Linked DNA regions of Sus scrofa. The main gene of each other region encodes a partner of the protein of the gene in region 4 in a complex. Links are inferred from orthologs where the notes say so. Each region holds a gene or a part of one and is shown on either strand. Other genes may lie near its edges. The genes, in order: GEMIN2, SNRPD1, SNRPD2, GEMIN4, GEMIN5, SNRPD3 and STRAP.

Evidence for each region.
Region 1: GEMIN4 (region 4) and GEMIN2 share a complex: the UniProt entries of both Homo sapiens proteins name them as parts of the SMN-Sm complex. The link is inferred for Sus scrofa from reciprocal best matches to the Homo sapiens genes GEMIN4 and GEMIN2.
Region 2: GEMIN4 (region 4) and SNRPD1 share a complex: the UniProt entries of both Homo sapiens proteins name them as parts of the SMN-Sm complex. The link is inferred for Sus scrofa from reciprocal best matches to the Homo sapiens genes GEMIN4 and SNRPD1.
Region 3: GEMIN4 (region 4) and SNRPD2 share a complex: the UniProt entries of both Homo sapiens proteins name them as parts of the SMN-Sm complex. The link is inferred for Sus scrofa from reciprocal best matches to the Homo sapiens genes GEMIN4 and SNRPD2.
Region 5: GEMIN4 (region 4) and GEMIN5 share a complex: the UniProt entries of both Homo sapiens proteins name them as parts of the SMN-Sm complex. The link is inferred for Sus scrofa from reciprocal best matches to the Homo sapiens genes GEMIN4 and GEMIN5.
Region 6: GEMIN4 (region 4) and SNRPD3 share a complex: the UniProt entries of both Homo sapiens proteins name them as parts of the SMN-Sm complex. The link is inferred for Sus scrofa from reciprocal best matches to the Homo sapiens genes GEMIN4 and SNRPD3.
Region 7: GEMIN4 (region 4) and STRAP share a complex: the UniProt entries of both Homo sapiens proteins name them as parts of the SMN-Sm complex. The link is inferred for Sus scrofa from reciprocal best matches to the Homo sapiens genes GEMIN4 and STRAP.

The regions. Positions count from the first base shown.
Region 1 is NC_010443.5:169,682,452-169,686,409, reverse strand, and holds part of GEMIN2 (gem-associated protein 2), read right to left. Parts: intron 3,021-3,958; coding exon 2,904-3,020; intron 625-2,903; coding exon 580-624; intron 1-579. UniProt on the Homo sapiens protein: The SMN complex catalyzes the assembly of small nuclear ribonucleoproteins (snRNPs), the building blocks of the spliceosome, and thereby plays an important role in the splicing of cellular pre-mRNAs.
Region 2 is NC_010448.4:106,796,686-106,801,100, reverse strand, and holds the start of SNRPD1 (small nuclear ribonucleoprotein Sm D1), read right to left. Parts: upstream 2,901-4,415; 5' UTR 2,757-2,900; coding exon 2,743-2,756; exon of another isoform or gene 2,722-2,742; intron 2,511-2,721; exon of another isoform or gene 2,436-2,510; intron 1-2,435. UniProt on the Homo sapiens protein: Plays a role in pre-mRNA splicing as a core component of the spliceosomal U1, U2, U4 and U5 small nuclear ribonucleoproteins (snRNPs), the building blocks of the spliceosome.
Region 3 is NC_010448.4:52,039,290-52,043,696, forward strand, and holds the start of SNRPD2 (small nuclear ribonucleoprotein Sm D2), read right to left. Parts: upstream 3,186-4,407; 5' UTR 3,112-3,185; coding exon 3,110-3,111; exon of another isoform or gene 2,211-3,109; coding exon of another isoform or gene 2,143-2,210; intron 1,714-2,142; coding exon 1,534-1,713; intron 1-1,533. Other genes in the region: QPCTL (glutaminyl-peptide cyclotransferase-like protein), read left to right, coding at 3,943-4,152. UniProt on the Homo sapiens protein: Plays a role in pre-mRNA splicing as a core component of the spliceosomal U1, U2, U4 and U5 small nuclear ribonucleoproteins (snRNPs), the building blocks of the spliceosome.
Region 4 is NC_010454.4:47,114,575-47,117,453, reverse strand, and holds the end of GEMIN4 (gem-associated protein 4), read right to left. Parts: coding exon 2,390-2,879; 3' UTR 755-2,389; downstream 1-754. UniProt on the Homo sapiens protein: The SMN complex catalyzes the assembly of small nuclear ribonucleoproteins (snRNPs), the building blocks of the spliceosome, and thereby plays an important role in the splicing of cellular pre-mRNAs.
Region 5 is NC_010458.4:68,302,941-68,306,898, forward strand, and holds part of GEMIN5 (gem-associated protein 5), read left to right. Parts: intron 1-1,382; coding exon 1,383-1,522; intron 1,523-2,526; coding exon 2,527-2,698; intron 2,699-3,958. UniProt on the Homo sapiens protein: The SMN complex catalyzes the assembly of small nuclear ribonucleoproteins (snRNPs), the building blocks of the spliceosome, and thereby plays an important role in the splicing of cellular pre-mRNAs.
Region 6 is NC_010456.5:49,583,971-49,588,487, reverse strand, and holds the start of SNRPD3 (small nuclear ribonucleoprotein Sm D3), read right to left. Parts: upstream 3,002-4,517; 5' UTR 2,604-3,001; intron 2,571-2,603; exon of another isoform or gene 2,442-2,570; intron 1,615-2,441; exon of another isoform or gene 1,560-1,614; intron 935-1,559; 5' UTR 917-934; coding exon 791-916; intron 1-790. Other genes in the region: protein GUCD1, read left to right, coding at 3,601-3,643. UniProt on the Homo sapiens protein: Plays a role in pre-mRNA splicing as a core component of the spliceosomal U1, U2, U4 and U5 small nuclear ribonucleoproteins (snRNPs), the building blocks of the spliceosome.
Region 7 is NC_010447.5:56,733,863-56,738,608, reverse strand, and holds the start of STRAP (serine-threonine kinase receptor-associated protein), read left to right. Parts: upstream 1-1,719; 5' UTR 1,720-2,042; coding exon 2,043-2,154; intron 2,155-2,831; coding exon 2,832-2,967; intron 2,968-4,746. UniProt on the Homo sapiens protein: The SMN complex catalyzes the assembly of small nuclear ribonucleoproteins (snRNPs), the building blocks of the spliceosome, and thereby plays an important role in the splicing of cellular pre-mRNAs.

The DNA.
Region 1 (3,958 bases), on a different chromosome or scaffold from region 4:
GTATGACTCTTAAAAAAAATTTATCTACATTGGTACTCTATGCTATGTGAATGCAAAACAATCAAAAGTTTTTATTTGCTCTTTAAATAGGTAACAGTTCCTGAAAGACTGAAGGACTGAAGTCCATTATTTCTCCCCTTTTGATCCAAGAAATTCAAATTTCATTCTTAGTGAAATGCGTAGGTCATCCAGAACTAGAAACACCTTTTTGATCTCAGTATTTATTTCAAACCCCAGAATCTAAGACTTATAACTAAAATGTATATATGTGAATAGTTTAGCACCATGATCAAGAGCATGAGTTCTAACATCAGATCAACCTGGGGCTGAGTCCCAATGTCACCATTAAAATTCACTGAAAAACCACCAAGTGACTTTAATTCTGTTTCCTCAGCTACAAAAAAATAGGTATTAATAATAATCCCCCATAAAGGGTTGTAGTGAGGATTAAATAAGAACTGTTACAAAGTCTAGAACTGGGTCTTACATACTGTAAATATTCAGCAAATTATTTAAATATTTTAACACACATTGCAAACAAAAGAACACTTAACATTCTTATTATCAGACAGACTTTACCTGATTCATTCTGCTAACAATGCTAAGCAAGGGAGGAAAACCAATCTGAAAGAAAAATTAAATTGAAATTTACTAAATAGTATTACAAGGAGGGGGCTTCATTTTTTTTTTTTTTTTTCCAAACTGGTGAATTTCTCAACACACTGTTATTAAAGAACAAAGACTAGATAAAAGAAAAATTTCTCCACTGTCCATTACAATAAAATATTCCATGAGCTATTATGTTGGTAATGCCCAAGAAAATAATGTCTTAACATTTGAACACGTAAATTAAAACCAAAGAACGATTTTAGTAATTAAGATGTTAAAACGTGAAACTGAAAAAAATGATACTATGACATTAATATGTTGTATACACTTTTTCAAAATCTTCAGCTAAAGTTATTATTTTCAGGAATTAAAGGCACTTGAATGAGTTTTTTCAAACCTAGTCTGCTTCAATTTAAGAAAGTGCTTTGGAATTTAATGCGGGAAGCCTGGATTATGAAAACAGTCCTGACTTGGTGCGAAACTTGAGGACATGCATTAAACTTTTATGTTCTTAAATTGTTCTTTCACATGATATGCTTTACTTGTATGTATTTTGGGTTTTGTTTTGTTTTCTTTTCTTTTTAGGGGTGCACCCGTGGCATATGGAAGCCTTCTAGGCTAGGGGTTGAATCGAAGATATAGCTGCCGGCCTACACCACAGCCACAGCAACGCGGGATCTGAACCATGTCTGCAACTTACACCACAGGTCGTGGCAACGCCGGACCATGGACCCACTGAGCAAGGCCAGAAACCGAACCTGCATCCTCATGGGTACTAGTCAGATTTGTTTCCAATGCTCCAAATGGGAACTCCCTCACCTGTATGTATTTGGTAATAACGAACTATATATATTTTAATTCTGTGTCAAATTAAAATATATTATGGATATTATCCCAAAGAACATAAGTTGTCTAAGAAACAGTGTCAAATTAGCTCCCTTAGAGATTTGAATCTGTCTACACTCCCACTACCATGTGTAAGAGTGCCTGTCTTCCTAGCCTTTGTTGACTCAGTGTATCAAATTTTCTTTACCAATATGTCATACCAGCTCAGTGCAATTATAAGTTAAATTTCTATCATAAGTGAGTCTGGGCATCTTCTCATGTAAGAACAATCTGTATTTCCTTCTTGTGAGATGTCCTTTATATTCTTTGCCTTTTTTTTTTTTTTTTTAATTTGGGTTCTTGGTGTTTTTCAGTGATTTTTGGAGCTTTACATTTTGGGGCTAAACTAATTTTACTTTATTTATTTATTTATTTTTTTAAAACTAATTTTAATAGGAAAAACACAATGTGGCACCACACAGAAAATGATAAATATCTATTCAACAGAACAACATAGTTTCAGGAGTTACTAGTAATGCAGATGAATACAGTGAGTTTCCTTGGAACATCTGCACACTTGAAGGCAAGCGAATGCTGAAGGCAAGCGAATGCTAAAGGACAAGAAGCAGATAGCTACATAATTTATGATTAAAATAAAAGTCACGTGAAATTGGAGTTCCCATTGTGGTGAAGTGGAAAAGAATCCAACTAGGAACCATGAGATTGTGGGTTTGATCCCTGGCCTCGCTCAGTGGGTTGAGGATCCAGCGTTACCATGAGCTGTGGTGTGGGTGGAAGACGTGGCTTGGATCCTGCATTGCTGTGGCTGTGGTGTAGGCCAGCAGCAGTAGCTCTGATTAGACCCATAGCCTGGGAACCTCCGTATGCCACGGGTGCAGCCCTAAAAAAAGCAAAAAAAATAAAATAAAGTCACGTGAAATTAAAATATACCCTCAACATTTAATCTCCAGAATATGAATTTATGAATAAACATTTTAAAGCACCTAACTTTGTTTCCTTGACTACTTATAACTCATTGTTTGACTCATGCCTAATGGTTTTTTAAAAAAAGAATCCTATCTGACAAAATTATTAAAAAGCTAAACCATAAGAGATATGAAGCTAACCTAAAAAGAGCCACAGTACATTGTTTTATAAATGAGGCTATCAATTTTTAAGTCAAAGAGCCAATGAACTAAGTTAGGGATTGGCAAGTAATTTCCGTAAAGAGCCAGACAGCAAATATTTTAGGTTTTGTAGACCATATACTGTCTAAGTCACATTATTATTAATTTTTTTTAACAACCCTTTAAAAATGTAAAAACTATAAAGTTTTTATGTTTAGCTCATGAGCTGGACAAGAACAGGTTGCAGATTGGATTTGGCCTAGACTGCAGTTTGCTGAGTCTTTACATGAAATCATGCACTGAAATTATAATTTTTCTTTGTGTAGCCACATTATCACCTACTTGTACATAATCAATTCCAGGACTTTCACTTGCAGCTGGTCCAACAGTAACTCCTTCAGCACATAACCTTTCACCGAGACAAAATTTTTTCCAGCCTTCTTCATCTTCAGATTTTGGCTAAAACAAAGAAAAAAGAAGAAGAATTTAGTTATTCCTATATAATTTTTAAAGAAAATACTCAACAGTGAAAAAAATAAGTGAGAATTCCTCTGTATCCCCACCACCTCAACACAAAGATATACTGCCTGTTACGAAAGAGTGAACTGTGTAGTCCTAAAAATCACGTGCTGCAGTCCTAACCCGCAGTACCTCAGAATGTGATTATTTGAAGTCTGGGCCTTTATAGCAGCAATTAAGTTAAAATGAGGTAGTTAGGGCAGGTCCTAATCCAAAATGACCTGCATCCATAAGAAGAGGAAATGTGGACAGAGAGCTATTACACATGTGTGTGCACACAGGAGACTATGTGAGGACAAAGCAAGAAGATGACCATCTGAAACCAAAGAGAGAGGCCTGAAGAGAAATGTACCGACACCCTGATCTCAGACTTTGATGGTCACACCAGCATTTAGTTTGGATTGTACTTTATTATTTACTTATTTTTTTATTTTATTTTTTTTAGGGCTGCATCTACAGCATATGGAAGTTCCCAGGCTAGGGGTCAAATCGGAGCTGAAGCTACAGGCCTACACCACAGTCACAGCAATGCAGGATATGAGCCACGAATGTGACAATGGCAGCTTGCAGCAATGTCAGATCCTTAACCCACTGAAGGAGGCCAGGGATCGAACCTGCATCCTTACGGACACTGTGTTGGGTTCTTGACCCACTGAGCCACAATGGGAACTCTATAGTTTGAATCATACTTTATGGACAGTGACAAACAAGAGTGTGTTCAAAAGAGGGTGATAAAGATAGGAGCTGATATGGGACACTAAGAATGCTTACAAGAATAAAGGATGAGAATCCCAGGGAAGGAGACATGATTACATATTCCACATACTTAAAGGGCTGTCCAATCAAATAAGAAATATTTATTCTACATTGTCAGACTG
Region 2 (4,415 bases), on a different chromosome or scaffold from region 4:
CAAGGAGTTCCCCTCACGGCTTAGCGGTTAGTGAACCCAACTAGCATCGCTGGCCTTGCTGTAGGTTAAGGATCTGGCGTTGCCATGAGCTGTGGTATAGGTCACAGACGCAGCTCAGATCCTATGTTGCTGTGGCTGTGGAACAGGCCATTGGCTATAGCTCAGACTGGATCCCTAGCAAACTAGTTATACAAAACCCATTTTCCCAGTGCAAAATACATTCTCCAATTATTAGGAATTTTGCTTCTATAGTCTAAGACACAGAATAGGATTCAGTACAGCATTAATATTTATAGGAGGAGTTCCTGTCGTGGTGCAGTGGTTAACGAACACGACTAGGAACCATGAGGTTTCGGGTTCAATCTCTGGCCTCACTCAGTGGATTAAGGATCTGGTGTTGCCATAAGCTGTGGTGTAGATCACAGATGCGGCTTGGATCCCAAGTTGCTGTGGCTCTGTCGTAGGCCGGTGGCTACATCTATGATTAGACTTGGGAACCTCCATATGCCGAAGGTGCGGCCCCAGAAAAGACCAAAAAAAAAAAAAAAAAAAAAAAAAAATTTTATAGGAAAATTCTGTCACAACATGGACTATCGTTAAGTGGGACAAAAGACTCCAAAGAGTATTATCTATACTAAGACTCTGACTGGCAAGTATTCAGACATTAAGAAAATAAACTTTAGGAGTTCCTGTCGGGATACAGCTACAATGAATCCGACTAGGAACCATGAGGTTGTAGGTTCAATCCCTGGCCTCGATCAGTGTGTTAAGGATCTGGCGTTGCCATGAGCTGTGGTGTGGACTGCAGACATGGCTGGATCTGGCGTTGCTGTGGCTGTGGCGTAGGCTGGCATCTGTTGCTCTGATTAGACCCCTAACCTGGGAACTTCCATATGCCGTGGATGTGACCCTAAAAAAAAGAAAAAAAAATAAACTTTAAGTTCTGAGATGTTTACCTTCAAAGTTATACCTCAAATAAAATGGACAAAGTCTTTCAGTTATAAGTAAGAACTAGAAATGTAATATGCAATATGATAAATGTAATCAATACTGCTGTATGTTATATATTAAAGTTGTTGAGAGTAAATCATGAGTTCTCATCAGAAGAAAAAAAATTTTTTTGTCTATTTCTTTAATTTTATATCTACATGAGATGATGGATGTTCACTACACTCTTTATGATGTACGTAAATCAAATCATTATGCTGTGGGAGTTCCCTCGTGGTGCAGCTGGTCAATAAAGAAAGAATCCAGTGTTGTCATTGCAGCCTTGGGTTGCTGCTATGGCACAGGTTCGATACCTGGCCTGGGAACTTCCACATGCCTTTGGCACGGCCAAAAAAAATCATTATGTTATATACCTTAAAGTTACACAATGCTGAAAGCCAGTTACATCTCAATAAAACTGGAAGGGAAAAAAATAGACAAAAAGTCAATCTTAAATGCCTTCTCTACAAACACCAGCCTGAATATGACAATGAGGATTCTTTATGTTATCTCAAACTATCTTCTTGTCTATCTTCTCTGCAAAACGAACGCTACTACAACATAGGACTCTTTAAGGGGGGGGTGGGCTACTGCTGTAGCACAACTGGGATTCTTGGCGTCTCTGGAGCACTGGGATGCAGGTTCGATCCCCAGTTCAATCCCCACCGGCACAGTCCAGCATTGCTGCAGTTGCCGAGTAGGTTGCAAATGCAGCTAGGATGTGTTCCCTGGTCCAAGAACTCCATGTGCTTAACTATTTGGTCGACATTGACAATTCTTGACTCAACAGACAATAAACTAGTTAAGCTAGTTTATAACTGCCGGCTGAGTTGTAAAAGCCTCTGCTTCTATGTTCCAGGCTCTCAGCCTCAAGGAGAAACATCAGAACTCAATCTATTTGCAGGTAGTTTTTGTGATGAATTAGCTCAACCAGTAAACGAGTCTTCAGCAGGCTCAACTAATCGACCAAATTTAAATACAGAAATAAACAGAATAAATCTCGATTATCTGTGTAATCAGCCAAAAAGTACGGAAGAGTGATTCTACCCCATATTGAGAGGTTTTTTCCTAAATCAAAGGGCTATTTTAAAGGGAAATGTAAGTTGAATAATCTTAAGGCTAGGGAATAACAACAAGAGGGAAAAAAAACACTATTAAAAAAAAAAAAAACCTCAGGAAATCAGAAGTCCATCCCTGATCCCTGATTTAAAATACTTCGGAATTGGATTTCATTATCTCCAGATAAACCCCTGCAGCTTCTAAGTACTCTTTTAAGTGTGACGGTAGTTTCATTAAAAAATATGCATTAATTTAAACTACTTGTGCAGGATGTACAATTTTTATGTCTCCCACGTTCTCAGGAAGCGTGGACCTAGTTAAATTTGCCGGTTCCTGAGTGCTGAGACGAGCCAGAAACGTTCTAACAGAAACGGAAGTCTGTAACTCACCGAAAGTAAGAGCTTGTAAGCCTGGCTCTGTACTTTTAAGGCCTCTAAGACACCTGATGGGAAAACACCGCCCGGCCTTCAACCTCTCGGAAGACCCGCAGATCCCTGGGCGACCCAGTCTGAAGCCTGGTCGAGTGCCCGCGGCGACGCGACCAAGATGGGGCGGGAGCGGCGGGCGCCGAAGGCCGTTAGCAGGCCGCGCGCGCACGCGGCTTTCGCGCCTCCTGCATCTCGGGCAGCTCAACCCCCCCGCTCCCGGTCCAGGACATCCCCTCATAGTACCCACCCTGCTCGGTCACCTCCTCACCTCACGAGCTTCATCCTCTCGGTCCGATAGTACACAAAACCCCACCGCAGAGGCCGACCCGCAGGGAGAATGAATGACCGGAAACGCTTACTCCCGGGGATCGACGTAAAGAGCGCGCGGATCCCTGCGCACTCACGGCGGAAACGCCGAGGCTGCGCTTGGGCCACTCTCCCTTCCGGCCGCGAGTAGCGCCAGTGCGGCCTCTGGCGGCAGGAGGTGTGCCTTGCAACTGTTAAGGGCGTTTAGGGCCGATCCAGGAGGAAACTTCCTGTAAGAGAGAGTATTTCAGGAAATTAAATCCTATTAGCGAGCATAACAAGGCTCCGGGTATTATGTAGCACCAAATTTTCTCGTGAATGAAAGGAAATAATTGGAGAATCCCAAAGGATTATGCTCCACCACCAGGTATCTCAGCGTTACTTAATGTGCTGAAGAAAATCATACAATTTAACTGATTATTTTCACTTTAAATTCTGGTCACAAACCTCAAAAGTGTCCCTTGCACTGCCCAGAGATCGTTATGCTTCTCTAATAAGCTCACAAAGTATTTCATACCTTCTTTCTTCTCTTTATCTCAAACCTTTTACAGTTCTTCTCCCAAATCACTCTCTAACGTATCCTACTTTTAGAAAACAGAAGCCATCCTTCTGCTTCCCTTTCTGTGACAACGATAGAAGTATTATTGCTCCTTTGGAAAGCAAATTCCTCTTGGTTGTAGTCTGGATCCCATCTCATTTCCTCAAGAATTTCACTCCTTCAATGATCCCCTTCTAATTTGAATCATCAATTCCTCCTTCTCTACTGATTTTTTCTATCAACATATAAATTTATCTAAAAAACAAACAAGCAACGAGTTCCCACTGTGGCGCAACAGGATTGGGCAGCATCTCTGCAGCTCCAGGACGCGGGTTTGATGTCCAGCCCTGCATTGCTACAGCTGGCTGTAGTGTGGGTTCCAACTGTAGGTTGGATCTGATTCCTGGTCTGGGAACTCCATATGCCTCGGAGATGGCCAAAAATGGAAAAAGAAAAAAAGGAAAGGAAGAAAGAAAAAATTTTGTAGTGCCAGTTGTGGGAACTCGGCAGGGTAAGAACCTGACTAGTATTCATGAGGATGTGGGATCTATCCCTGGCCTCATTCAGTGGGTTACGGCTCCAGTGTTGCCACAAGCTGCAGCGTAGTTCACAGATGCAGCTCAGATCCAGTGTTGCCGTAGCTGTAGTGTAGGCCTCAGCTGCAGCTCTGATTCAAGCTTCCATTTGCTGCAGGTGAGGTCTTAAAAAAAAAAAATTCTCCTCTCATGCAGCTCTAGCTCCCACCAGATTTCTTCCACAGAAAACCTCCTTAAATGAGCTGTCTATAACTTGTTTTTATTGCCTTGTAATTCGATCTTCAAATACACTGAGATTGCTTTTCTAATGGTGATCAAAAACCCAATACAAACTTCTGTCTTCCTCTTACTCAGCATCTCAGCAGCATTCAAAACAGACACTCTCCTTTGAAACATGCTCCTTTCTTGGCTTCCAGGATGCCAAGTATGCCTGGTTTTAATTCAATCTCACTAATGACTCTTTCTAGGTCTCCTTAGGCTGCCTCATTGTCTCCTGAGCCATTACATGCTGGAGTGCTTCTTGGCTTACCCTCAGCGTAGTCTCTTCATGGATACTTTCTC
Region 3 (4,407 bases), on a different chromosome or scaffold from region 4:
CTATCTGCCTCCTTGGGCTCGGCACTTCCTATCGTTCTCGTTCTCACTTTACTCAAGAGTAAATTGAGGCTCAGAGTGAAAGCTTTGTTCTTGGTCCCACAGTAGCCATTGGCAAAAGCAATCCAGAGGTAAGCTTCACCCCCCTGCCGAGAGGAAAGCACTTCCCTGATGCTGAGGACTGCCAATGGTTTTTTGCTGTTGTTGTTATTTTGGTTTTTTTGTCTTTTTCGGGCAGCATCTGTGGCATATGAAAGTTCCAGACTAGGGGTTGAATCGGAGCTGTAACCACTGGCCTACACCACAGCCGCAGCAACCCCAGATCCAAGCCACTTCTGTGACCTACATCACAGCTCATGGCAATGCCGGATCCTTTAACCCACTGAGCAAGGCCAGGGATCGAACCTGCGCCCTCATGAATGCTAGTAGGGATCATTTACCGCTGAGCCACAAAGGGAACTCCTGCCGATCATATGTTTACTGAGCCTTTGCCACATGTTAGGTACTGAGTTAAGTGCTCTTCCTACAGAAAATCATTTGACCCTTACGACTGTTCTGAGGGGTATTATTCTATGCATAGTATTTTGCAGATAAGGAAACTGAGGCCCAGAGAGGAAAAATCACTTGCTGCTCCCCATGGCTGAAACATGCAGACCCTAGGTTGCACCTTCGTTTTATCCCCATCTGTCCACCTAGAAGGCCTCCTGCATGACCCACCGAGGACAGCAGCACTCCCTCTCCACACTCCAAACTCTCAGCTGGCTCTACTCTTCTGCACAGACTTTGCCATCACTTGTCTTCCTGACACATTATGTGTTTGCTGTAGACTCCCCTGAGTACAGGAGGCATGTATGATTCAGTCACCATGGCATCTCTGGAGCCTAAGACAGTACCCCACAAGGGCAGAGGCCACTGTGCACGAACTGAGAAAACTGATGAGGAAGACCGTGTGCCGGGGGCGCTACTCCTAAGGACTGACTGTGCTTCACATATATTAAGTGACTGAATCTTTGCAACCATCAAGATTACGGCCATTGTAGGGAAGAGATATATGGTCCCTTGCTGAATGTCACACGGCTGCTAAGAGGCAGAGCCAGGACATCATTCCAGGACTGGCCCCCAAGTCCATGGCTGAACTTTACAGCTGGAGGAACAACAGAGACCGTCACAACAGGCACTCTTTTTTTTAAGCCCACACCGGAAGCATATGGAGGTTCCCAGGCTAGGGTTCAAATCGGAGCTACCGCTGCCGGCCTACACCACAACCACAGACATGGGATCTGAGCCACACCTGCGACCTACACCACAGCTCACTGCAATGCCGGATCCTTAACCCACTGAGGAAGGCCAAGGATCGAACCTGTGTCCTCATGGATACTGGTTGGGTTCGTTAACCACTGAGACATGACAGGAACCCCACCTTCAGACGCTTATGCCCCAGGCTTCTAAGAAACCTAGAATCCAGGCTCCTCAGACTAGAGCTGGGACTGCTTCTCCAGGCCAGGACAGACCACCTCCCCAGACCCAGGTGCTCACCTGTCAAAGGCCTTCACGCGGCCCAGGAGCTTCTTGTTGTTGCGGCAGTTGATGAGCACTTGGGTGTTGTTCTTGACCGACTGTGTGAGCACGGACAGCGGCCCCGTGTTAAACTCCTCCTCCTCCCGCTTCTGCAGCTCCTCTGGCGTCATCTCACTCTTGGGCTTGTTGAGGAGGCTCCTGAGTGGGCAAGTATGGAACTCATAGGTGACAGGGCCTGGAGCCAGAGCCTGGGTGGTCATGCCCTCTCGCTCACTGTCTCCCCAACACACCCACCCTCCGGCTCAGTCCTCTCTCTTAGCATCACCACACAGCTGCCTAATAGACAGTTCCAAGCTTGCACGTCCTAGGCTGAACACCAGGCCCCGCGGTACCCCCAAACTTAATCTACCTACAGCTGCCTTCGTCTCCATCCATGGCAACTCCATCTTGCTATGTCTTTGAGCAAAACCTCTAACGTCAACTTGACTCTTCTTACTCTCACATCCTACATTCAATCTGCTGGCAAATCCCATCATCCCTGCCTCTCAAATATATCGGAATCTGACCACTTCTCACCATGGCTTAACCTCCATCGACTCTCTCCTAGAGCCGTAATGGTCTCCCTACCTCCACCCATGCTCTCCAAGTTTGCTCTTCACAGAGCAGTCTCTGGTTGGTGCCAAGGTCCAAGTCATATCATCTCACTCTGCGAAACTCTCTTGAGGCTCCTATCTCAATGTAGAAAGTAAAAACCCTTTATCCGCTGCCTTCTCTCACTCCGTTCCATCCAGAGGGGTGTCTTGGAAGATTTTCAGCAACTTTCTTCTTAGGCTTCTGCATTTGCTTTTCCCCCTTTACCTGGATACGTCCCTAAATATCTTTGTGCGCTCACTTTCTCCAGCTTTCTGCTCCAGTTGCTCCCTTCTTCATGTGTCCTGTCTCTCAAAACTGGCATTCCACATTGTTTTACCCTGCTCTACTGTTTCTTCATTCATAGCCCCGGTCACCTAACACACCATATATTTTACCTTTACATTTATTGCCTGGCTCAACCCAACCCATAAAATGCAAAATGGAATTTTTTCCCTTGGGGGAGTGGGGTAATTCACTAACATATTCTGTGTCTAAAGAAGCCTGACATATGAACACTCAATAAATAATTGTTGCATGAATACGTAAGTAAAATCCTTCCGATAACTCGAGACCCATGATAACGACGAATAAGGTCAAAAGGCTAACCGTCTCCAGCTCAAATTACCCTGATAAGATCCTCACTTCAAATCGTTCTTCCCCACATGTCCGTACTCCCCTCTCCCAGGTTCCATTTTCGTACATCGCTTCCCCTTAACATTCGCTTCAGTAAGACTAATTATTTGGGAAAGCCCAGCCCGTTATCTGATAAAGCTGCTCCTGCTCCTAAAGTCAGGATCCGAAAAAGGCCCCACATCTGTTCTCAAACTCATCGGTAACGTACGCCACTTTACCCCGAAAATGTTTGCTTCCGCCCCAGGCTCTGCCCACCCCCTTCCACCGGCAAGTGGCCAGATTTACACCCTCAACCCACTCCTGCCACCTAAGCCTAGCCCGGCCTCACATGGCGGTGGCAGTAGTTGTCGCGACCGCGCACTCCAGTCACCACCGTCTCCGCGTTGCTTCTTCGCCCTCTGAAAGGAGCGAGAAGGGCGGGACTTCCGCTTCCTGAGGCCCACTTCCGTGGGCGCTTGCGCAAACACAGCTAGTGGGTGGGGCGTGGCCTGTTGCCATAGCGATCTCTGCTCGCCACAGGCGGCTGTAGGGTAAAACTCTTACGTACTACTTTGAGGCCATTCAGGACTGTACCGGGCAGATATTGACGATGGAGAGGAAGAGAAAGCAGGACTTATTCAAACCATTTCGTTGTAGAACCGCACAGGTTGAAGGAGGGAAAGGACAAGCCATTTCCAAATGCCCGCCGGCCCTGCCTTCGGGGGCGCGGCATCCACGAAGCCAATCGGCTCCTCGCTTCAGGGATGGATACCTCCTCTTCTACTTAGGGGACCGTCCGTTTATGTGTTTGTTAATCCTTTGGACTTGGAATAACCAATCCTTTGCTTACATCCGGGAGGGGCGTGGACCCGCGCCCAGGAGGTCGGCTGTTTTCTAGGATCAAATGCTTCTCATTGGCTTCCCCTCTTCCGCTGAGGCGGTGCCTACCTCTTTCGCGCTCCCTTTTGGGTTGTGCAACCCTCAGGGGAACCAACCCTTAAGCTTCAGGGAGACAGGGAGGCGTGTCCTCAGTACGAAAGTCCCCATTGGCTTTACTGCTTGCTGAAGGGTGGGTTGGTGCAGCCGCTCTTGTTGCTTATTGGTCCGGTGATTCCATGGGGTGGGACTTGGCTGGCCTAAACTCCATCCGCAGTCCCCGACCGGTTTCAGGGCGAAGCTGCCATGCGTTCAGGGGGCCGCGGGCGGCCCCGGCTACGGCTTGGGGAACGCGGCCTTTTGGAGCCACCCTCACCGCCCAAGCGCCGCCTGCTACCGCGGGCGCAGCTGTTGCCCCTGCTGTTGCTGGCGCTGGCGGTGGCCTCGGTGTTCTATACCATTTGGAGCGGCTGGCACCGCCAGACTGAGGAGCTGCCTCTGGGCCGGGAGATGCGGGTGAGGCCGGACGGGGACAGGGGAGCCCTTATTCCCCGCCTCCCCCTCCTCAAAGTCTCAGGTTGACGTGGCTTTATCGTTATCGTGGGGCCCTAGCCGCAGGTGCCGCGATCTTCGTCGTTAGAGCGCATGCCCCTTTCCAATGCAATGAGGCTTCGGGCTTTTTCTATAATAGCGGTTGCACCGTAAGAGGAAGGGTCTGGAGTAGTAAGCCTGGGAGTTCTGGGTTCTAATCCTAAAGTCAGCTGTTTGGAA
Region 4 (2,879 bases):
ACTAGGTAACCTGCTGGCCCTCTGCCTCATCCTTTCATCCATGTGCCAACATTGAATCCTCCTGCCGACCGACTTCCAATCAGAAGTCTCACTGGTGGGGTGGGGAAGGAGGCAGGGATGGGAGCCTGAAGCACCTGAGCAGGTAGCAAGGTCAACAGGTCAGCTCCTTCGCACGCTGCCTCGGTTAAGACCAAAGTCAAGCTTGTGAGCTTGCTGTAAACACGCCACAGATACCGTTCCCTTTCTGGTGTGTCCCTCAAGCCTTCTCACCGGATCGACACACGCAGGATGCTCTTGTGAAAACTCCAGGGTAACAGCAAGTGACAGCTACTGCACTATTTGCTGCGTAACCCCCCTCTTTGACATTGTCCTTCTCATATGAAGCAGAAAGGACTTCTGTACCCCAAACCCTGAGATATCTTAGCTAGACTGCCTCCCGATAAGCCAGAGCCTGTGGTCCAAAGCCTGCTCCTATCTGAGTTACCACCGCGTGGCCCCAGGAGGCTGGAGGGCAAGAGCGCAAGACAGCCCTGGCCGAAACCTGTCCTTGGACGGACTTCTTCACCTGCCATTTGCAAAGAGGATACTCTGGTGCCAACACTAAATGTCCCTTAACAAGGATGGGGTTTAGAACCCGCTACCATGAAGTTTTTCCCCAAGAGGTAGTTAAAAAACTAGGTTTTTAAAAGTGCCTTTTACTTAATCCATTGTTGTTCGTGAACTTTTAAAGTACTGAATGTGTAACAGTGTCTTCGATTTTGACTATTTCAGTCTTTAATGGGTGCCATTTAAAAATCATAAAATGCTGTAATTTTTTTTACTGTTTTGTTTACCATCAGTGTATCCTGATAAATCACTCCTGTGGTGATTAAATTGCACTAATATTTTCCAACTCATTCTCGTTTGTGAAATACAGCCATACCAACTCTAAGATCCATCCTGTGACCCAACGTGAATGGCTGCCGTCTGCTCGTTTCTGGCCTGAGTTCTCATCTAAGCGGCAGGGGGGCCGGCTGCCGGGGCGGGGGATGTGTGAGCGCTTTCCAGCCTCCAGGAGGGCCTGACTCACACCTCTCTTGAACATGATCCTGTAATTCTGGTTCTGGGAAGACGAGGCAGCGTTCCAGAGTTCAGGCCCAGTGGAATCATGGACCTTTAGGCCCTTCTCTTCCCAGGTGAATCCCAACTAGGAGTCTGTCCGGAGGGCGCACAGCCAATGGGAGGCCGTGGAGCCAGCCCACTGCAGGGGGGGAGGAAACGTGCACAGGCCCTCGCTCTGACCGGGGCGTGGATCTGACCGGGACGGGGCTCCTCCTGTCCTTCCTGGCCTCCCAGGTAGACACCTTGCCGGCCAGTCCTCATAGCTCTGTCACAGATGCTGGGCACGTGAAATTCTCATTTTCACGCATCTTTGCACACCATCCCTGCTCCTGCTCATTCTTTAAACTGTGACAACCCATCCGAGGCAGAAGATAATTACACCCGTCCCCTACACACGCCTCAGCTGTGTTTACCAGGCAGTTTCAGCACAGGCCCTTGGGGATCCACTGAATGACGGGGGGGGCGGTCAACTCTGTGGGGCATCTTCTGAAGGTCATTGATCTGCCCCCCAACATCTCATGTTCTTGGTCCAACCCTCTCCTTTCACAGAGGCTGCAGGCCCTGGAGACACACCAATCACAGGGCCGCCTGGGGGCAGAGGAGGGTCCTTTCCGTAGTTGCTGCCCCTTCCAAGAGCCCTCAAACGACTCTTACAACGAGTCCCAGTACACAACACCGCCCTTGTGATGGGGCCACTTGGGTGGTTCCCCCTTTAGACTTACCTGCCAAACTCTCGGGTGGAGGCCAGTTACGATGCTGTTCCTCCCGGCCTGACCTGATCTTTAAGACGGGCTGAGCCCGAGTTCAGAGTGTGTTGCCGAGCCCAGACCACTGATAAGAAAGGCTCAAAAGAGGAAAGATGGGCGTTCCCTTTGCAGCTCAGTGGGTAGGAACCCGACACGGCATCCCTGACGATGCGGGTTTGATCCCTGGCTTCGCTCCGTGGGTTAAAGAACCGGGCGCTGCCGCAAGCTGTGGTGTTGGTTGCAAATGTGACTTGGATCTGGCGTGGCTGTGGCTGTGGCGTAGTCCCACAGCAGGTGTGGCCCTAAAAGGGCGGGGTGGGGGAAGGCGGTGGGGGGGGGAAGAAGAGGCAAGATGAAACTCCAGAGAGCATTTTATTATAATTTGTATGTTACAAATACCTAAGAAACTATTTTCTTTGCACTGCTACTGTCACATTTTTGGGCTTCTGTACAATGTCACGTACCTGGAAAGTTTGCGTTTCTCAGCTCAGGGCCTGCAGACCCCGCCAGGGTGAGGCCCAGCTATTTTCTGATCCCCGAGGTCAGAAGCTGCTGATCTTCTGCAGCAGGGTTTGGCGCCGCTCCTCAGGGGTGATGTTCTCGGCAATGGACTTTAAGAAGCGCTGCTCGTTGACTTTCTGGAGCAAGGAGCTAACGGAAGGGTTGGTCTTGCTCAGGGTCTCGTAGCAGGTGAGGATCTCCAAGGCCAGAACGTAGAGTGGTTCGCACAGCTCTTGGTGGAGCATGGCCATGATGTGCAGGACATGGCAGAACACCTGCGTGTAAAAAAAGAGGGCTTCCTGGCTCAGGTCCTGCTCTTGTCCTTGGGCCCAAGGGCCAACGGACTGGATCAGCCTCACTGAGTCCAGAAGGCCGGTCAGGCTGTTACACAGGAGCCTGACCACGTGGCTCCAGCCTTCCAGGGGAAGCCAGTTCCGACAACTCTGGCTGCAGAGAAACTGGAAAGCTCTCAGCAAGAGTACAGAGAGCTGGAGCTCCTGGGCAAAGGGCTTCAGGTTGAGCAGCGGAACG
Region 5 (3,958 bases), on a different chromosome or scaffold from region 4:
AAGCATTTAATTAGGTTCCATTTGTTTATTTTTGCTTCTGTTTCTTTTGCCTTAGGAGACAGATCCCAAAAAATAGCCACTGTGATTTGTGTCAGAGTTCCCTTCTAGGGAGTTCCCTTTGTGGCGCAGTGGAAACAAACCCAACTAGTATCCATGAGGATGCAGGTTCTATCCCTGGCCCTGCTCAGTGGGTTAAGGATCCTGCGTTTCTGTGGGGCTGTGGTATAGGTCGCAGACGAGGCTTAGATCCCACATTGCTGTGGCTGTGGTGTAGGCCTGCATCCGTAGCTCCAATTTGACCCCTAGCCCAGGAACGTCCATATGCTGTGGGTGTGGCTCTAAAAAAAATATAAAGTTCCCTTCTAGGAGTTCTGTGCTTTCATTTCAGGACTTTTATTTAGGTCTGTAATCCATTTTGAGTTTATTTTTGTATATGAAAGTGAGAAAATGTTATAGTTGCATTCTTTGACATGTAGCTGTCCAGTTTGCCCAGTACCACTTACTGAAGAGCATTAACTTAATTCTTAAGAACAAGGCAGGTCTTTGTCTACTGTAATACTATCACCCTGGTTTGTTTTTTATTTTATATCTACTGAATGATAGAAAGAGGGAAAAAAATGGCCAGAATCTACTTCATTTTACCCTTACATTCTTATACATAAATAATTCATACTTAGAGGAAATTTGTAAGAATAGTACGAAGAACCCCCATATACCCTTTCACAGATTCAACAACTTATAACACTTCATCATATTTGCTTTGCTCTCTGTGTATTTTTTCCAAACTGTGTTGCATGTGTCATGCCCCCATATCCCTTAATATTTGTATATTTTGTAAGAGTGAAGATATTCCCATATATAATCACGATTCCATTATAGTTTCACTTAATTTAATGTAGTAGTTTGATCTACCATGCTTATTCTTGTGTTGTCAGCTGATCCAGTATTGTCTTTTATATCTAGACCAGTCTCTCAGCCTTTTCTTTTTTTTTTAATCTTGAATTTTTTGAAGAATACTGGCCAGTTATTTTATAGATATCCCCTCAGTTTGGTTTGGACTCCTGTTTTCTCATGACTAGGTTCACGTTACACACTTTTAGCTAGAGTGCCATACACATGACGGTACATGCTTGCTATCCCATCTAAATGGTATTGTTTTCTCTGTGATAGCTTTAGAAAGAATGATAGCTAACACTTCGTGCAGTAAGCCCATATGCCAGGCACTGTGGATATGCCCACACTCTTAACTGCTAAACAGTCATTTCCCACTGAAAATCATGTAGAAAGCATGTTGCAAAATCTCGACTCTCACCTTGTTAATACGCTCTTTTATATCTTTCTGTTGTTACTGGTAAAAATGACATCATCCCCTTGTCTTTTAGAGAGCAATCCTGAATCTCCAGTGACCATCACAGAGCCCTACCGGACCCTCTCAGGGCACACAGCCAAGATCACCCGTCTGGCATGGAGCCCACATCATGACGGAAGGCTGGTGTCTGCTTCCTATGATGGTACCGCTCAGGTACTATTGCATCCTTGACTCTGTGGGTTCTTCACCTTGTACTCTAACTGAAACGCCTTCCTCTTTCCCTCCGTTTTGTACACATTCCTTCCCTCACCGATGTCTTCTATAGATACTCTGTAGAGATTTTTTTGCACTCTAGAGGGCATTTTAGTTAAGCCTGTCTGCGCCCTTGGCAGGCTAAGTTTTGGGTTTATTTTGATTTTGGTGGTGGTTTTCTTTTTCTTTTTCTTTCTTTCTTTTTTTTTTTTTTGCTTTGATGAAAGGGGAAATATTAAAAGGAATAGCAAAATTCTGATGTTTTTAAATATTTCATTCTGACCTACTGTCATTATGGAGTATGTGATGTAAAAAGTACTCCTTCCTTTTCAAACACAGAATGGTGACTATACCTCATAAAAAAATATTCTGTTAATAAATTGGTAAGTCAGATCTCCAAGTTACCAGAATCAGAGTAGACCTTAGAAACTGGGGATCTATCATCTGCGATGGATGTCTGTCTCAGTACTACTGAGTGGTAAATGAGCTGTCTGCCCAGAGCTGAAAGCCATGAAGGGCTGCCCTTTGTGAAATGGAGACTGGAGTAATTCAAGAAACAGCAAGGAAATGATCATTTGCCCAAGAATTGGGGACAAAAGAAATTAGAACCCTAAGAATTTATCACACATGAAAACGTGGGCTCTGAATTAGAATTCTCTTCATGGTTTCAGAATCCCCAGCCCAAAAATAATGACAATACGGGTTCAAGATAGTAAAATCCATAAGGCACCATTAGAAGTTTACTCAAAGTCAGCCCCATGGATGTGCCTCTTGCCCCAGAGCACAAAAGCTTCCCATAGGAAATAGTACTCTCTGAAACTCATCTCCTCAGAGAAAAGAACAGATCACAAGAGGAAATAAGAATACACAGATATAAAAAATTTTTGCAAAATGTCTATACACCCCCCCACCAAAAAAAAAATTACCAAAAATTATCTATTCTCTTGTGTGGCTTTTGGTTTTAGGTGTGGGATACCCTCCAGGAAGAGCCTCTGTACAATTTCCGTGGACATCGAGGTCGACTGCTTTGTGTGGCTTGGTCCCCGTTGGATCCAGACTGCATCTACTCAGGGGCAGATGACTTCTGTGTGTACAAATGGCTCACGTCCATGCAAGAACATTCCCGGCCTCCTCAAGGTCAGTCAGAACCTGGAGCATGAAGGCTTGCCTAATTCAGTAACTGAACTGATCAGAGTCAAGCAGGGAAGACATTCGTGCAGTGTGGCGGCGGCAGTGTGGTAGGGGGATGAAGCCCACACAAAGATGGCAGCCAGGAGGGGCCTGAGGACAATACGCAAGTACACCAGGCATCCACATCTTGCTTTCTAAATATTATTCTCAGTTAAAAGGGAACCCCCAGCCAGGGCTTCTTGAAGAAATGGCTAATTCCAGGTTAGGCCAGGAGAAATTCAAGACGGGCCTACAGCATCAGCCTATGCCACAGGGAAGGAAGTGCTCAAAGAACTGAGATGTAGCAAAAGAGCAAAGAAGCCAACCTGAAGGGGCTGCCTCCCCAAATCTGGGATGATTTGAGTTTGTAAATAATTAGCAGGAGAATTCCATTTCTGACCATAAAAGATTAACTGGTGCCAGATTTGCCCACCTACCAGACACAGCTAGAAAACTAGACATAGTATATAAGCAACTAGAAATGTATACAAAGAAATGATATCTCCACAAGGAGATTTTTTAAAAGAGTGCTCATAGCTTTATCTGTAAAATCGCCACAAACTGGAAACAACCCAAATGTACATCGGCTGGTAAATAATTGTGGTATATCTCTATAGTAGAACTCTGTTCAGGCATAATAAGAACGTAACTACTTATAAACACAACAAAATGGATGAATCTCAAAAAAAGAGTATGCTGAGCAAAAGAAGCCAGGCCCAAAAGACTAAATATTTTATAATTCTAATATAGAACATGCAATAGTTATATGTCATGTGAATTTCTAAAACAGACAAAACTAAATTTACAGTGATAGCATGTCAGTGACTGCCTGGAGTTCAGGGAACATTTTGAAATAATGTAAATATTGTATTTGTGGCATTAGGTTACCTGACTATTCGTTAGTCTAAACTCATAAAAGTATTAAAAAGTGCATATATTTTCTGGTATTAAATTATCTCGATAAAGACAACTTAAAAGCAAAAGGTAAAAACTTAAAAAAATAAATAGCAATGGGAGTTACCGTCATGGCGCAGTGGTTAACGAATCTAACTAGGAACCATGAGGTTGCGGATTCCATCCCTGCCCTTGCTCAGGGGGTTAACGATCCGGCGTTGCCGTGAGCTGTGGTGTAGGTTGCAGATGCGGCTTGGATCCCGCGTTGCTGTGGCTCTGGCGTAGGCCGGCGGCTACAGCTCTGATTCGACCCCTAGCCTGGGAACCTCCATA
Region 6 (4,517 bases), on a different chromosome or scaffold from region 4:
TCCTTTATTGTCAGCTCCCCCAATACCTTTCTTGTACAACTAATTCTGTTCCATTTTAGAGATGAGAAAACTGAGGTGACTAACATCTCCAAGGTCAATCAGGATTCAAATCCAGATCTGATTCCAAAGCCCAAGCTCTTAAGAAAGTGTCACACACTTTGTAAAGTGATGCTATACAAATTCACATAATTATTAGCAAAATCAAAGTACTGCCATCAGAAGGGCACCACGTCAAGAAATGGCTTCAATATTTATTAGCAAGTAAGTACAGTAATTAAGTCCTTTAATCTTATCTTTCCCATTTTATGGATGACAAAGCTATCATCAAAACCTTCTTACCTCACAGGGTAGCTGCTATAAATGCAATCAAAGAAGATACCTCCCCCAAGAAGAATGGCAAATAACTACCATATATAAGTGGAAGATTTACATATGGTATCCAAACCACATGGTATGCAAACTGCAAAGCAATGGGCAAACAAGTAGGGATGAGTTACTAGCGACCCTGAACCTAATGGTTCTACTGAACATTGTGCTACTTCTCTTAAACAGGCCCCGAGATATGGGAGAAAACGGTTTATGGGGTTGGGAAACAAAGGACAAAATTAAATATTCCAAATGGCTCTTACCTATGCCCACATCCCTGGTATCTGGAACAGTGCCTGGCATTCACTAAGCTCTCAGTAACTGCTGAATGAGAACTTCAAAAAGACCCTCAATCACCAGCTTTCTGTCCTCCAAGACACAGGCTCAAGCTCCCCCCAATAGGCTCATGTGCAAAGCAGGATACCTGGCAGTTCATGTTGTCCTCGGCTTCAATGAGCTTCCCTCGGTACACCTCTCCCGTGTTCGTCTCACAGGTCACAATGTGCCCCTCAGCCTCATGTAGGACTTTAATCGGCACACCAATAGACATCTCGGCAGGAAGAGAATTCTACAGAGAGAGAGAGAGAGAGAGAGAGATAAGAGTTCATGGTTCAGGGCCTGAGAGGCATGTGGCACAAGCCTCACTCAAGGCTGGACACTCTGTAACACTCAGCAAAAATGCCAAAGGCGTGTTTTTTTTTTTAACTTTATTTTTTTTGCTTTTTAGGGCTGCGCCCCCAGCATATGGAAGTTCCCAGGCTAGGGGTTGAATAGAGGCTACAGCTGCTGGGTTATGCCACAGCCACAGCAACACAGGATCTGAGGCACATCTGCGATTACACAGCTCACAGCAATGCCAGACCCTTAACCCACTGAGCAAGGCCAGGGGGCAAACCCACATTCTCATGGATCCTAGTCAAGTTCGTTAACCACTGAGCCAGGAAGGGAACTCCCAAAGGAACTTGAAAAAGTAGCTTAACCCCAGCTTGAAGAACATATCTAGCAAACAAGATGCAAGATTGGGTGGGGAGGAACAGGGGGGCTAGACAGAGGGAAAGCTAACAGGAATGAAAAGACTGCCTCTCATCTCCCTGCTACCACAGGTCCCTTTATCTTTATCAAATAACTATGTTGCAGCAGAGGGGGTTGGAAGGCAGGTGTACTTGTTAACCCAAAGCAGTGGGTAACATCACCTTGAGAACGTAGGACGTAGACCTGAGCTGTCCAAAACAGTAACCACTGCAAGTTCTGAAATTGAATAAAATTAAAATGAAATAAGGAGCTCCAGCTGTGGCGCAATGTGGTCTGAGGCATTTCTGGAGCCCTGGGACACTGGTTCGATCCTTGGCCCACCATAGTGGGTTGCTGCAGCTTCGAGGAAGGTGGAAACCATGGCTTGGATCTGATCCGTGGCCAGGGAACGCCATATACCTCAGGGTGGCAAAAAAAAAAAAAAAAAAAAAAGAACGAAAATTAAAATCAAGAAGAGTCCATGCATTTAATTCAACCCAGTAAGTGCTCTTTGACTCTCCATTTACTTCACCATCAAAGTTAAAGAGAAAATATCAAAGTATTCACAAAGTGATAATGTGCTACACACAGGAAATGCTTATCTTGGAGAAAAAAGGGAATCAAGGCAAGCCTGACTTGACCTTAAAAGAGGAAAGCTGTCGGTTTTTAAATTCCAAAATGGTCAGCTGAAAGGTGGAATACATCTCCTGCATAAAGAGAAAAAGGAAGAGCAGTGAAAGAGACAGGCGCCCTTCGTGAGAAGCCTCAGAAGTGTAGATTTTATGCTGAACGCAATGGGAGAACCACGGCAGGACTATAGGGAAGGAATTATCCCTGGGAAAGGCAGCAGCACTTACAAAATGGTTCGAACACAGCTTAGATGCAGGGAAACTTGAAAGAAGCTTGTGTAACGGTGTAGAAAGCATGAGGGGGCGGATGGAGGCAGGGAAGCAAAGGACTTGGGAAGGAAGCAACTAGCCAGAAACGACCTCAAGACCATTGCCTGGATGCTTCGAAAAACACTGGCCTGGGGAGGTATGGAAACTGAAGGAAAAGCTAACGACCTCACTTCCAAGCGCTAGTGAGGCGACACTGTCTGGTGGCCCGGCTTCCCGCTCCTGTCCCTCGGCGAGCCCCGCGGAGCTCCTCGGCAGCGCGTCCTTCTCCAACCCTCTACTCCTCCGAGTGCCTCGGCCTCCCCACGCCCGCCCCCAGCCTCCCCTCACCGCCTGAGGTCTCCTCCTCCTTCCCGGTGCGGCCGCGACTCTGCCGACTGCGAAGCGTGAGACAAGCGAATGGCGGGTCCCGCGCTCCCAGAATACCACGCGTTCCCAAAATGCCTCGCGCAGGGCCCGCCCTCTTCCTTTTCCCAGTGGTGAGCGCGGTCTCGTCCTCGCTTCCACCTCACCCCACCGGCTGGGAAACTCGGTCTGTGGTTCAAGAGTTCCGGCCCCGGAAGACTGATGACTGGACCCAGGTGCCGCCGGAAACACCGACCCTCGGGCCGGCAAGGGCAGAGAGGGACTCGCTTTTCCAAACACCTCACACCGGCGACGGGCTGGACGGCGAGGCGGGGATCGGGGGAGGCAGCGGTGGGGCCGAGGGCCAGGACCTCCCCTCACAATTTAACCTTCGGAACCCGGCAGTGCCAGGTAAAGGGACCCCTGAGCGGAGAGGGAGACAGGAGCAGAGCGGGTGCCGGCCCTCGGCCGTCCCTCCAAAGAGAGTCGAGGTGGGGCTGGGTCTCCCGGCCCCGAGGCTGGCGGAGGAGTAGGACCTGGCAGAGGCGGAGCTTGCCGGGGGCTCTGGGGAGCCCGCGTTCGTGGAACTCCCGGGCCTGGGCGGGGCTTCCGGGGAGCGGGGCGGGAAGGGCTGCGCGTCCGCGCCAGGCCTCGGAGGTCGGGGCGGCAACCCTGGGAGCTGACACTTTGAGCGGCCGGGACCAGCGGAGACAGGAGCCTGGGAGCCTGAGGGCTTGAGGGCCAGAGGAGGCGGGGGCGGGCCGGGGCGGGGCCCAGGGCGGACGGGGCGGGCCAAGGCCTGGAAGGGCCGGGGCGGGGCTTGGGGCGGCCCAGCTGCCGCCTCCCCTTCTCCCCACCGTGCTGGCAGTGGCGGTGGCGGCCCAGGAACCCGGGGACTAGCGGCCCCGCTCCCGCCCCAGACGAGGCCGAAGCTGCAGCCGGCGCCGGGCCGGGGCCATGGGAGCCCCGCGCCGCCCACGTCATGAGGACGGAGGGGGAGGCATCGGGGCCGCCGCTCGAGCCCGGTCAGTGCTCCCTGAGGGCTTAGCCCTCATCCAGGGGAACAGGGGGGCCCACCCTAGCAGCGGTCAGGGTCCGGCCGCGTGACCTTGGACCGACGGCCGCCATGTCCTAGGCTGTAGAGCTTTGAGTGAAGTCTGGCCAGGTGTACACCCCGCCTTGGCTCCCGCAGCGCCAACCGCGGTCTGCTGGGGTTTCCTGATACTCCCAGGGCTGGAACCCCAGGCAGCTCTGATGGCGGTCTTGGTGGGAGGGTCCTGGTTGAGAGGCTGGGGCGGCAGCTTCCCCAGAAGCGAAAAGTCCTGCTGAAGCTGCCGTGAGAGATCCTGTCCCCTCGGGGAACTGAGGCCTAGAAGGGCAGGGAACTGGCAGGGAGCATAGAGCAATGGGGGAGGCCCCCCCCCCCGGCCTCCCAGACTCAGTGTTTTGTCTTGCTAGAGTTCTTCACTCTAGTTCCTTATGTCCCAGGTGGCCTGTGTTCCCTTGCAGGCAGAAACCAAAACTCAGGTTGTGTGTGAACCTCGGTTTGCTTTGCTAAATTGGGGAGGGAGAGAGCAGTAATTCCTGCTCTGGTTAAGGCACAGGGTTGGTGAGAAAGGAAGTGCTGGTAAACTCTAAAGTGAGGTCCCAGCTCCTGGGAGAAGTCAAGAGCATGTGGGAGCCTGACCCTAAGGAATCAGCAGGATACTGACTGTGACTGCAGCAAGGAGTAGGGTCTGGAGTTACCCGGGGATTGGCCTCCCTAATCCTCTAATTATCTAATTCTGTGATCTTGGACCAGACACTTGCATGTTCTGAGCCTCACTCAGGGAAGTAATGACTCATATTTACAGTGAGCTTTCTATGGGCAGATACTCTGCTAAATTGTTCACATTCAGA
Region 7 (4,746 bases), on a different chromosome or scaffold from region 4:
CCTGCCCTTGCTCAGTGGGTTAACGATCCGGCGTTGCCGTGAGCTGTGGTGTAGGTTGCAGACGCGGCTCGGATCCCGCGTTGCTGTGGCTCTGGCGTAGGCCGGTGGCTACAGCTCCGATTCGACCCCTAGCCTGGGAACCTCCATATGCCGCGGGAGCGGCCCAAGAAATAGCAACAACAACAACAACAACAACAACAACAACAACAACAAAAAAGAATTATACGTACTTTAGAGACAAAAGTTTTCAGTTACCTACGCACAATAAGCAACAAATGGCCATGTATTAACATCTTACTGACTAGTTGTTCTAACGAGTTTTATCTTTTATTTAGATGCCTCCATCATTAACGCTTTACTTTACTTAATAATCACTTGTCCAGCATTCACTAAATGCCATTCACTCTTCTGATACCAGAGTAGAAAGACAACAGTGCCACACAATTGCCACTAAGGAGCTCACAATTTAAATGTCAACAGAGTGTGTGTGTGCATGTGTGTAGGAACTTGGGGTGAGGTTGGCACAGAGAAAACAAAAAAGATAGTGGAAAACATATATAGTAAGTGCTGTACTATAAATTAATGAACAAAATGCTAATGAAATAGAATGGGGAAGCACTTCAAGTCTCCATTCAAGTAATTAGACTTGAACGAAGATACATGTTTACTACAAAAAGATGAGGGAGAGGGAAACATTTGCAGACATTTGTGCTGATTAGATATGTATTGGTATGTGCCAAGACATTATGGCCTGGGATAAAGTAGTGAAAGAGACCACAAAAAAAATCTCTGGTATTTTCTGTTGACATCCTAACAAGCATTAAAGGAAAGAAATAACTTGCCCAGAAAAAGGACCCTTCTTGCTCAGGTCAGTTTTTGCATGAGCAATCAATCCATCAACAGTTCTGCTACACCACGGAGTGATATCCAAAGAGGAGAGCCTGCAGGAAGACAACACCAGTATTTCTATTTACACTGAAGTTTAAGGTTCTTCTAATATTTCTATTCTTCTCTATGCACTAATATGCAAATAACTCACAAATTATTCACTATCGCATATTTGGGGGACGGACGCAAGTTTTATTGATGTGGGTATTCATCAAAAAATTTGAGGACCATTGCTCATGGGTCTCCCAACGTCCTCAAAAGATAAACTAATTTAACTGTTTTTAGAGTCGCATAACCCTCACGTCTGAAACACTAACAATGCAAGGTTACACAGCACAAGGGGTGACTGGGAGAAAGACTTTTCTTAAGGGCCTTACTTGTAGACAATCCCAGAGGAGCTGACTATACAACTGCTAACAAAGATTGGAAAAAAAATTCTTAGACGGTGTTTGCTGGTTTGGGCCACCGCTGGAAACAATTCTGGTTGTTCAGTGTAGACGTCTAGATAGCACAGTCCAAACCACTGGACGGCTCAGTGCGTAAACCACAGATGCGGTCAGATTCGGGGTATGACTGAAGCAGGACCCGCTTCCGCACGCCCCCAACTCGACTCCAAACGGCTCAAAAACAGAAAAGCACCCCAAGCTGCTTAGAGCTCAGCGCTAGGATTTTCACCCAGTGCCTGGAACGCGGCCAAGAGCCCTGCGTAGCCAGCGTGGAGCCAGCATCACGTGCTCAACCTGAGCTGATCTCGCGCCTGCGCATTGCGGTCGCTCTCGCTCCAGTACGCCTCTTCTACCCAGCGAACCCGCCTTCCCTCCTGTTCGTCACTTCCGGCGGAGGGTTAGTGTCGTCACTTCCTGCGAGTACCGGTGTGGACGGTGGGGATCGTGGCTGCCGGTTTTCCTGTTCTCCCCCTCCCCTACTCTCCTCCCTCCCTCCCTTTCCCTCCCTCGGCGGCGGTCGACCGCCAGTCGCACACTCCCTGACCCACCCCTAACCCTTTCCTGGTTTCGGGGCCACCAGATTGGCCTTTTTCTGTTTCCCGGCCCAGCGTCAGGGCGTAGGCCTTGAGTGAGAGGCGCTGCCGCGGAGAAGAGAAAAGACGAGACGACCCTCAGCTCTCCTGCGGGATCGCTCGGCTCGCCGCCGCCATGGCAATGAGGCAAACGCCTCTCACTTGCTCCGGCCACACGCGGCCTGTGGTGGATTTGGCCTTCAGTGGCATCACGCCTTATGGCTATTTCTTAATCAGTGCTTGCAAAGGTGAGCAGGGCCGCTGGGCTCAGATGGTTGGGACTGGGCGGAAAGGGAGTGGGGCCGGCACTTCCCATTGCCGAATGGATTGCGGCTTTTGAGATTAGTGGGCTGGTAGGGCGAGTAGTGTTAAGGATTGCGCAGCTGATGCCAGGAGAAGCTTTGGTAAGTTATGCCCCCAACCAAGGCTTCTCATTTTACCTTTTTTGCTATTTCTGGATAAGCTTTACTGTGCACTTGCCCAGACGCCCCGGCCAACACCGTAAATATCTTTAAAGGATTTGGGGAATGCAGAAACTAGGCCAGGCTAAGTAACACTTTATTTTACAAAGACTTTCCACTTCTACTATTTCATTGGATATTCTTCTGTGGTATGGAATTTTTCATTTCCAATTTTCAAGTGGAAGCTGAGACTATTAAGTTTGTCCAAAATAAGGTTCACGTCTAGATTGTTTTGTTGCAGATGAATAGTCTTTCTGCCGCATTTCAAGTCCTTCCCAGAGAGAATGGCCCAGTTCTTCAGTTAATTTATTTCTGGATGTGCCTTAGTGACCCCAGTGAGTGAACAGTTAGACAACAAAAGCAGTTTTCAAGTTTGTTATTCATCACTGTTTGTTTTAAGTTCGGATCCTAGATTTTAAGTAATTTGAGCTTCTACATCACATGTTTTCTTACATATTTTTTAGATGGCAAACCTATGCTACGCCAGGGAGATACAGGAGACTGGATTGGAACGTTTTTGGGTCATAAGGGTGCTGTTTGGGGTGCAACATTGAATAAGGATGCCACCAAAGCAGCTACAGCAGCTGCAGATTTCACAGCGTAAGTGTAGCCAGAAATGGCCACCTTTACAGTTCTCTGTGAATTGTGTTCTGAAATGATCAATAATAAAAGTTCAGTAAAAGTTATTCATAAAGTTCTCATGCACTGCCTAACGTAGAGAACACATGTTGTTTTGATGTCACCAAAATTCCGCCCATATTTTATCTGCTGCTTTCTCAAAATGTTCAGAGACTTAAATGACTTAGTTCTGTATGTCTGGACTGGGACCCAGGAATCTGCATTATTAACAAGCACTTCAGATAATGAATGTTGATGGTCATGCTGGCAAATACTGCTCCACATGTTCTAGCTGAATAATACCTTATACTCCTTAACTTCTTAGTGCTTGATGCCCCACATTTTTAGCCCAGTTTCACTCTCATTTTTGTTAGACATATTTAAGATTCCCAAACTCAGTTATTTTTCATTTTCTAAGTTTCTAAATCATTCTTGATTTTTCTCTTCCATCTAGATTATCATATTTGTTGATTCTGCCAATAGAATGTTTCCTGACCACATTGTTTCTTGTACCTCTGCCACTACCTTAATGGTTTAGGTTCCTAAACTGGTCCTTTCCCATCTCTTCATCAGCCAGTTGTCTTCCTGGAGACAAATAACATAACACTTCTTTACCTAAAGATCTTTGCTTCTGCTTTGTCAGTGGCCCATGACCTTGGGTGTACATTACAGTAACCTGGGAAGCTTTTAAAGTACTCAGATGCATGTGTCTGAGAAGCTCTGGCTTAATTGGTCTGGAGTTGGAGTTCCCAACCTAGGTTTTTTTGTTTTTTAGTTTTTTTTCTTCCCTAAAGTTTTTCTGGATGATTCTGATGTACAACCTTAACCACTAGCCTAAAGGTTAAATTTCATTGTTAGCTCTTTAAAATTTGGCCTAATCCTAGTTCTTGGGCATCATCTGGCACTACACATCATATGCCCCATCATTTGGCTATACTAAATCTAACTGTTGCCAGAATATGCCTTACCTACTCTGATTTTTTTTGCTTTTGTATATGATATTAAAGTGACTTGCGATGACCCACTTTCCCTATCTGGGCATGGGTCACAGCTTATGTAATCTTGGTACCTCTAGTTCCTGATTGTGACTTAGTAAACAATAAAGTGTTTAAGGCAGGCAAGTCAAGGGCTGTTGTACGTGGAATACTCCTTATTAGATTTGAAAGTCTGGAGAGTAAAATTGTCTTGTTGATTTTTTTTTTAATAGAATTTCACATTAAGAAGCGATTCTAAATGTGTTTCTCCTTTGTTGTAAGCAAATTAAACATACCAAGTTTATTATAAAAAATGAAGGCAGATTGATTGAGATAGTGGATACCTGACTGTGCATTTGTTGAAACTCTAGACCTCTGTACCACAGAGTGAGTTTTACTATATGTAAGTTTTTAAAAAATAAATTTAAGTTTTAAGGAGTTCCTGCTGTGGCACAGTTGGGTTAAGAATCCAACTGCAGGGCTCAGGTTGCCGCAGAGGTAGGGTTTGGTCCCAGGTCCCTGACAGTGGGTTAAAGGATCTCACGTTACCGCTGCTGGCTCGGATTCAATTCCTGGTCCAGAGACTTCCATATGCTGCAGGTGCAGCCATTTAAAAAAAAAAAAAAAAAAAAGTTTTTTTGTTTTTGTTTTTTTAAGTAAGGAGAGGGAAATATAATCCCATGCTCATGTGAGATTACATTTGAGATGGTGAGAGATCTATAAGAAAAGTTATAAATGTCATCCTGAGCTTTTTTCTATGCCTTCGGTAAATAGATGTTACTCTGTC